Neurospora crassa OR74A: one gene and its partner. The protein of the gene in region 1 interacts with the protein of each later gene in a pairwise test. Links are inferred from orthologs where the notes say so. Each region holds a gene or a part of one and is shown in the gene's direction. Other genes may lie near its edges.

Region 1 (4,318 bases):
AAGTGGATTATGAACCCGGGTAAGATCTTTGATCGTCGAGCGTGACCGGGAGGGCGAGGAGGTAAGCGCTAGTGTCTAGACGATGGATTGGCCAGGAGACGCAAGGTTCATGGCTAAAGGGATCACAGAAGTGAGTGTATCTACTGAGGATCAAAACCCCTGTCTTGACTGGATGCTGTGGCGTTTTTACATTGATTTCAACGTTGAGCTTCAGTTTCGGAGGCCATAGGGCAATGAATGCATCAATGACTGAGGCACAGGATATCAAGAAGAGCGAAACTCGTATATAATTCTCGGTTTGGTTGAAACTCCGTGGAGAGGAGATGTGGGTTGTTTACATTTATCAATTGATCTGATGTCCGGCGTCGTCAAAGAAAGTTCCATCTTCCAGACGAGGAGCTTGCAACGAAACGAACCGTGGGTACAGTGGGTTCGGATGATAAGCGGGCAGCGGTGACCTCGACGGGAGGCCCTCTCTTATCACATATTTCAGATTGGAGGAAGGAACGACGGCAGGGAGAAGGCACGAAGCAATGTTTCACAATTGCTTGAATTGTCCATACCCAGGTGGCTGCCTAGAGATACTTAGAGGTAGCTTAGGAACATTGGGGCTCTTGCCTCAACATGGACAGCATCTTGGAGTTGACAAATTGATTGTCTAGGTACCTCTGGTACACCCCGGATCCATCATCTCCACGGCATCTGTCAATCAACTATCTCCCGAGAGCAAATATCATCAGTGGCAGTCTCACATTTTTTTTTACTTTACACATTGGAAGAGTAGTTGGAAAAGCAGCTCAGTTAGCTTCAGCTGTGAGTTGACAATATTCTCCTTGCTCAATCCCAGCTCACGGCCTTCTCTACATCTACGGTTTCTGTCGTCGCTTCCTGCCCTGTCCACCACCTCTGTCTCAAGACTGCCTTTTCGATGTTCTTTCGTCCCAGTACACATAAGACACCTTGTAACGGAAGCTGAGCAGCTCAGTTGTCTCTGCGACGGAATTGTCATCTGATACTTGTTTTTACCACAAGTATCCTCCTCCGCCCGGCGTTCGAGACTCCGAGGCCATCAAATCTTCCGTCCCAAGACGAGACTTCTCCAGTCATCCGTTACCCCGGCCGGCAACCACCCCAGCATTGTGCTCTCCCGCAAAGTTTAGAGAGGCGCATATGCCTTACCCTACGGTAGAGGTATTTAACGAGTGCTCTTCTCGTCCATGAGCATGGATTCTTTCCGCATTCACATTCACCGCCTTCCTCGCCAGCTACAAGACTAAACATCATCAAACATACGAACCACGGAGTAACAGAAGAGGTGTAGTCAGTAACTGCTTACACAACCCCTCAACTGTCACCTGCACCTTATCAAGCACCTGTCTCGTAATTCTCTTCCCCATTACCCTTCATACCAGTGAATCTGAGTCTATCCTAAGGAATAACTGAAGGCTGACTGTAGCCAAGACAGACATCCACCATGTCAGGAATACCCAACTGGGTAGAGCAGGCGCAGCATGCCATTCTTGTGTCGCCGGACAGAAGCCCCAAAGATCAGGACGCTCGTCCGAGGCATCCTAGCCGCCGCAGATCCAGCCAGCAGGGACATCGAGAGAACACACCGACACCTCGACCACCCTCGCGACCAACCTCGCGACCCTCCTCCAGCTCTCCCAAGCCTCCCCCTCGCGCTTTTCGGCAGTTCTCACGGGGCAAACCAGCCTCATTCGCATCCCTCCCCTCTCTGACACAACCAGTCTTCATTTCCAGGGAGTGGAAGTGCGCCAGGACCGCTGCCATTCGCGTCAAGGATGTGCCGCCTAGAGCTAAACTCCAGGACCTTCACGATCTCTTCTCTGAGTATGGTCATATTAGCTACATTGAACTTGATGAGGACCGTCAAGATGTTTCTGATCGTGGCCGGAGAGCTCTGATTCGCTTTGAGCCACCTCCGCTATCTACCGACTTTCTCTGCCGAGGCATCTGCAGACTCAGGATTGGACTTGTTGACCACTGGCTGCCTCTCGAGACAGTGGACCCAAAGCGCGAGGATCGCAAAGAACGTACCATCAAGACTCAGCTCGGCAACACTTGCCCGCAAACTCTATACGTCTTTCCCTCAACACTGTCTTTCGGTCTCTTAGTCCAGCCTGCGGTATTCATGAAGAAACAATCCGTTCAAACCCTCTCGTCCGACTCTTTCCTGAGACTTGAGTTCGATTTCAAGCGCATGCGACTGGTAATTAAATTCTCCCTCCACTACCAACGCGAACTTAGTGGGTTTCGCAGACAAAATGAGCATTACAAGCTCCACATTAAGTTTGGAGTCATCAAAGAGTTATGCAGAACCATGGTCGGCGAGGAGCATCGTCAAGCTTTGGTCATAACTCTCCGGGACCCGCCGGTTGCGTACAGGAAGAGGGATGTCTCAAAGACATTTGGCGAGGATCGGCTGACTTGGAGCGAGAATGACCTCTGGGAGAGAGTGGTCGACATTAGCCCTGGACTCGATGTCAGCAAAAACCCAGTTTCGCTCGCCGAGAACCACCAATATATTGACCTGGGACGGTGGCTTACCTATTGGATTGAACTGGATCAACAATCAACAAGAGTCTGGGATCAAGTTCAACAATATTTGCTCGATTGGAATCTCAGGACTAAGTTGACTGTTTTCCCCGAGCCGCTTCCCAACCAAAAACCAAAGGTATGGGATTTTCTGGATGATAGATACGGCCATGACATTCAACAAGTCTCCTCACGGTCCTGGAGCAACGACTTTTCTCTTTTAGCCGCGCCGCCCCGTATTTCTCTACCGTTTGATGTTCGGTATCAGCTTGAAGTCTGCATATCGCAAGGAATCATCAACGAGCACAACATTGACCGGCCGTTCCTTGAGAAGCTGATGGAATTTTGTGATAATGACAACAGCTTCGGCAAAGATCGGGCTCGCCTCATCCTCGAATACGTCGCCGATGAGTATGCTGGAAAGCGTATCTTCGACCCGATGGAACTCTTCAAGGATCATGCAGCCTTAGCTTATTTCCCAACTAGTTTCATGATACCCAACCATTGCGCTTGGGTTCGTAGGGTCACCATCACCCCTACTCGTATCTACTTCAGTACCCCCTGCGTCGAACCCACGAACCGCGTCATCCGCCAGTGGAAACATGCACAAGACTACTTTATCCGCATTCAATTCACCGATGAAGTTCTTGAAGGACGTATCAAGAGCGGCGAAGCGGAACTTCCCCTATTCTTGCGTGTGTACAGGGTATTGGAGAAAGGGGTTGCCATGGGTCCGTGGCATTGGAAGTTCCTTGCATTTGGCAACTCTCAGATTCGAGAAGCCGGAGCCTTCATGTTCTGTGAACAGAGCAATTTGACAGGCGATATGATGCGAGCCTGGATGGGCCGCTTCAGTCACATCAAGGTCATTGCCAAGTATGCGGCTAGACTTGGGCAGTGTTTCTCAACTACCCGTTTGGTGCCTGGCATCCCGGCACCGAGGATCGTCACCATCCCTGATGTCGAAAAGGACGGATTTTGCTTCACGGATGGAGTAGGCAAGATTTCCCCTTTGCTTGCAAAGATCGTAGCGCATGACTGGAGCATTGACCCGCCGCCGTCAGCTTACCAGTTCCGCATGGGAGGTTGCAAGGGAGTCTTGGTAACTTGGCCTGATGTGAAGGGTATGGAGGTTCATATTCGGAAGTCGCAGGAAAAGTTCGTTGCCGAATTCAATGGCCTTGAGGTTGTCAGATGCTCGCAGTTCTCAACCGCCACTCTCAACCGGCAAATCATTGCCGTTCTCTCGTCTCTTGGTGTTCCCGATCAAGTCTTTGTAGACATGATGGAGCAGCAGCTTTCTGACTTCAATGCGGCGATGGAGGACAAACAAAAGGCGACGGCGATTCTGAAAACGTTCATTGATGAAAATCATATGACACCTATCATTGCGGAGATGCTTGCCTACGGCTTTATGGGGTCTCAGGAGCCTTTTGTTCGCACCCTACTTCAGCTGTGGCGATCATGGTCGATCAAAACGTTGAAGGAGAAAGCGCGACTCAATGTCGAAAAGAGTGCGTTCGTGCTCGGCTGTGTTGATGAGACTGGCACTCTGAAAGGGCACATGAAGGTCATTGAAGACTGGAAAGACGTGTCCAGTGAGAAGCTTCCACAGATCTTCCTACAGATTCCCGATGATGTCAATGGCGGGTACAGGGTTATTACTGGAACCTGCGTCGTTGGCAGAAACCCGTCTCTCCATCCTGGTGATATCCGTGTGGTGGAGGCAGTTGATGTCCCTGCTTTGCGGCATCTAAGA
Region 2 (4,572 bases), about 4.9 Mb from region 1:
GAGGTGAGTTGGTGTTGTGGTATCCTGACGAGTATTGGCAAGCATGGAACGAACCAAATCATGTGCCCCTATCAATGTCCGTCTTTCAAAGGTCTACAATAGGGCGACCGAGGCTGTGAGACTACGTCGTTGCATTCTGTTCAAGAGAGTGCACCTATGCTCCTGCTTCGTGGACCTGCGAATACAACCACCTCTAAGAGGTCTTGTGGAAAGATACTTGAGGGTCGGCTCGGATGAAGAATCATCCCACTGATACCAAAGCATATCCGTATACAAAAGTACTCATCCCGGTGTTCCGACGTCCAAGTTTAGTCCCGTCCAAACTCAGCTCCAAACATTGGTGATTTCCTGAAGTTTGGGCTATGTCCGCACTAGACTGACTCGAACAAGGCCTGACATATGAATCGCCGGTGAGAACGTGGCTGGTAGCACACCGAGCGGCCCCGGAATATCGTTCGCACCAACACGCGTCAACATCATCATGTCAGCTGCTGGAAGAGAACGTCTTGCTGACGGCGTGAGCATCTTAGAGAACAAATGTAACGGATTTCAACCCAATACATTGTTCATGAACCGATGATCTTGGAATTCGGTTGTTCGTTTCTTGCATTGTCGTGCTCACCTTGAGCTAACCATGCCGAGATAGAAAATGCTAATAGATGTCGATAGAGTTGCTCCTGTGGTTTGTTCGCCTTAGTGTTTCACAAAAACAAGGCCATATGATTGTCAAACAAAGAGGCCGGACGTGAAGCCTTCTTGTGCAGGATGAGACAATACATCATGTCGGATCTTCTTCCATCGCTATTGCGTGAAGGAAACATCACGACTTTACAGTTTGATAGATCCAAACGCTTGAAAACCAAAAGTCGACGAACAAACTGGGGCAAGAATACTAAAACAATCAGAGGGCCAGGAAGGAAAACTTGCCTTTTCGTCTTCTTCCTATGCTCAATGTCAGCCTTCTATCACCTCGTGTTTGCTTTCCCCGGCTGATGAGACAAATTGTTAGATGACTGAAAACCTCGGCCGGCATTCGTTCTTTCCAATTCGAATGCAAACGGTGTGTTCATTACCGTTAAGTATGTGGAAATTACTATCCTCTACCCAACCCACTCCTTCCTTCCACGGTCGCAGTGTCAATGAAATTCGAAGTAGCTTTCCAATTCTTACAGCCTCTCTATTTCACGCTGCCGTCGTTGGCGTTGACATTTCTACCCCGTTCAAATTCAAGGCCGCTTGTCGGATATTAGTACATCCGTTTTTCGCCCGACAATCTTGAGTTGAAGCATTTCTGCTTCCTCGTTCCCCTCCCTCCTCTTTCCTCCAATCTTACATTTGGCGTCCAGCTCCTTTTAAGTCCACTGGTATTTGGGCATTGTCTGCCACAATTACTCAATCGTCTTCAACGTTGGACGGGTCTCTCTGTCTCGATCTCCATTTCCTCATCCTCTCAGCGGTGCCCGCTTTGGTCTGGCCTGATCCGATCACTTCCGCATCACGCACTCAACATGGCCAACCGCGACGAGTGGATTCAACTGAGCGCTACGGTACTAAACTCCCATCCTTTCTTTGTCAACCGTATTGCTGACACAGGTCTCCACAGAGAGACGAGATCGTCCGTAGCAATATTTTTGTCAAGCTTGAAGATGGAGACGGATGGAAGTCGAAACCCGAAATTCCCACGGCCAAGGAAATCCTTCTACTCCAGAAAGAGGCCGAAGGTCTGCCTGAGAATGATGTAAGGCAGCCCTGGAAATCCAAAGAGGACTACTTGAAGGCTCAGTACGAGATCCTTCGTCGCGAGGGCACTGAAGGTTTGCGATTCGCTGTCAACAACTACATCTACAACAACAACCACGGACTGCGCCAGGATGACGATCAGCACATGTTCGTTTATACCCAGGTTCGCATCAAGTCGTACATCATGACAACATTAGGACCTCTTGCGCGTGTTGAGTTCATGCCGCAGAGAGCCATCAAATGGCTGAAGTCCGGTCGCCTAAAACCCGGCAGTCTTCTTGCCCTCACCACCAAAGCCGACAAGTTCAAGACCATCTGCAAGGTCGCCGTGGTTGCCCAAAGGCCGTACTTGCTTGGACTTGATCAAACCCCTCCACTCGTCGACCTCATGTGGGGCAACCCAGAAGATGCCGTCTTCGATTGTGATCTTGAACTTGTTATGATTGAGGCCCAACACGGCTATTTTGAATCCTCGCGTCATTCTTTGGTCGGCCTGCAACTGGCTGCGCAGGCAGAGTATGTATCGCAATCGAAATCAAAGCTTGAATGTATCACGCAGGCTAATCATGTTTAACTTAGTACTCCTATCGACAAATACATCACCGGCAGTCACAGGGGAAATGAGACACCAAGCTTCATATACCAAAGCCCTATTATGGACTTCTCTTCTGTTGTGCGCCAACCCCTTGCAGACCTTGAGAAGCTCAAATCCCTGCGCGAGTTCAATGTGCTCTCTGGACTCCTCCCAAAAGATGTGGAAAGTATCAGCTTTCTCGACGCCTCGCAACTATCCGCTCTTCATCGAATGGTCTCCAAGGAGCTTGCCATCATCCAAGGCCCTCCAGGAACGGGGAAAACTTTTACCTCGGTGGAGGCAATCAAAGTCATGCTTGCGAGTCGCCGCAAGTGTCCAGGACACAACCCGCCCCTCATTGTCGCTGCGCAGACAAATCATGCCTTGGACCAGCTGCTTGGCCATTGTCTTGAGGCGAACGCAAAGATTCTGCGTCTTGGCTCAAGAAGTGAGAGAGAAGACATGAGGCCTTACAGCTTGTATGAGATGCGCCGCAAATGCTCCCGTGGTGGGGGTGGAAAGCGGTTCAGGGAACTGGAGGATGACCGTCATACCAACATCGACAGAGTAGAGGCACTGGTTGACAGTGTGTTTGGGGACAGTCTCATCGACCCACGCCAGCTTCATGCACATGGCATCATTACCGAAGCGCAGCTGGAGTCTTTGTACGATGATGAAATGGAGACAAGCCCGGAGTTGGAGAAGCTTGGTCCCTTTTCCTTATGGTTGGGAGACTCACGAATCCCGGCTCGGATCGTTCGCGACAGGCAGCCTCTCATATCCGAAACATTGGAAGCTGACGAGGACTTCGATTATGAGCGCGACGTAGAGAACATCGCGTACGATGAAGAAGACGCAGACAGGATAAACGGCAAGGAAATCAAATTGATGCATATATGGACCGGAAAGTAAGTTTGACGATTACCCGATGTTTTTATGGTCCAGTCGTATCTACGTTTTAGAAAACTGACCATGTATCGTGGGTCAGAGAGCCTGGACACTTCAAAAGCTGGAATCATCGTGCACAACGCTTGCTCAGAGAGAATGATAACCTCTTTGATATACCCCAAGACTGGAGGGGTGCAGTTTACCAGCATCTCCAGTCCAAACTGGTGCAAGCAACCACTCCGACGCTGGCTGGGCTGCTGGCCAAATACGTTGAGATATGCAAGCGGCGCAGAGCACTCAAAGCCCGGCAAGATATTGACATGGCCTTCTCACAAGATATTGCGGTCATCGGCTGCACAACAACCGGCCTTACAAAATACCGCGCGTTTCTGGCCGGGCTACAGCCCAATACCCTGCTTATCGAAGAAGCTGCCGAAACAAGGGAAGGAAACATTACCTCGGCTCTGTACCCTTCCCTTCAACAGCTCGTTCTGGTTGGTGACCATGCACAGATGTCGCCTCGATGCGACATTCGATGGCTCGGTCAACATCCGTACAACTTGAACGTCTCTCTGTTTGAAAGGCTCATCAACCTGAAAATGAATCACATCATGCTCAATCAACAGCGCCGCATGAGGCCGGAGCTGAGACGCATAGTCTCTCCATTCTATAATAACCTACTCGACCACCCCAGTGTCCAATCTCCGCAAGCACGTCCGGATGTCCCTGGGATGGGTGGGCGTAATTGCTGGTTTTTCGATCACGAATGGATTGAGCGAACGACTTCTGACAACAGCAAACTCAACGACCAAGAGGCTGAAATGATCACCCTCTTCTTTGTGTATCTTGTGTCTAATGGTGTGTCTAGTGAGAAGATAACCATCTTGACATACTACAGGGGCCAACGAAGTCTTCTCTTGAGAAGACTAAAAGGGCATCCATCGCTCACTGGCTGTTACTTCAACGTTTTCACAGTGGACTCGTACCAGGGTGAAGAAAATGATATTGTTCTCTTGTCCCTGGTGCGTAGCCCTGACCCAGTCTATGGGCGCAACATCGGTTTTCTTGACAACCCACACCGAGCTGTGGTTGCTATCAGTCGCGCTCGGCAAGGGTTCTACATATTCGGCAACGTCAATAACTTACTCGAGGCTAAAACCGAATCATCGTTTCTATGGGGCCTTATTTTCAATAGATTCGCTGATCAGGGCATGGTCAACCGAGAACTTGGGCTTCCTCTGGTTTGCCAGAATCATGGAAATGAAATCTGGATCAAGGAGCTAGAGGACTGGGCTGACAATACTGGTGGGTGTCACGAAAGGTGTCGAGAGACTAGGCCTTGCGGCCATCCTTGCACTCTGAGATGTCAT

The links. The genes of interacting proteins can lie anywhere in the genome.
Region 2: the proteins of sad-1 (region 1) and sad-3 interact in a two-hybrid assay, tested with the Schizosaccharomyces pombe proteins (2 studies listed by BioGRID). The link is inferred for Neurospora crassa OR74A from reciprocal best matches to the Schizosaccharomyces pombe genes rdp1 and hrr1.

Annotation. Positions count from the first base shown.
Region 1 is NC_026501.1:968,025-972,342, forward strand, and holds the start of sad-1 (RNA dependent RNA polymerase), read left to right. Parts: upstream 1-1,474; coding exon 1,475-4,318. Other genes in the region: NCU02179 (D-lactate dehydrogenase), read left to right, coding at 1-45.
Region 2 is NC_026501.1:5,853,794-5,858,365, reverse strand, and holds the start of sad-3 (suppressor of ascus dominance-3 protein), read left to right. Parts: upstream 1-1,508; coding exon 1,509-1,547; intron 1,548-1,603; coding exon 1,604-2,256; intron 2,257-2,319; coding exon 2,320-3,222; intron 3,223-3,302; coding exon 3,303-4,507; intron 4,508-4,572. UniProt on the Schizosaccharomyces pombe protein: Has a role in the RNA interference (RNAi) pathway which is important for heterochromatin formation and accurate chromosome segregation.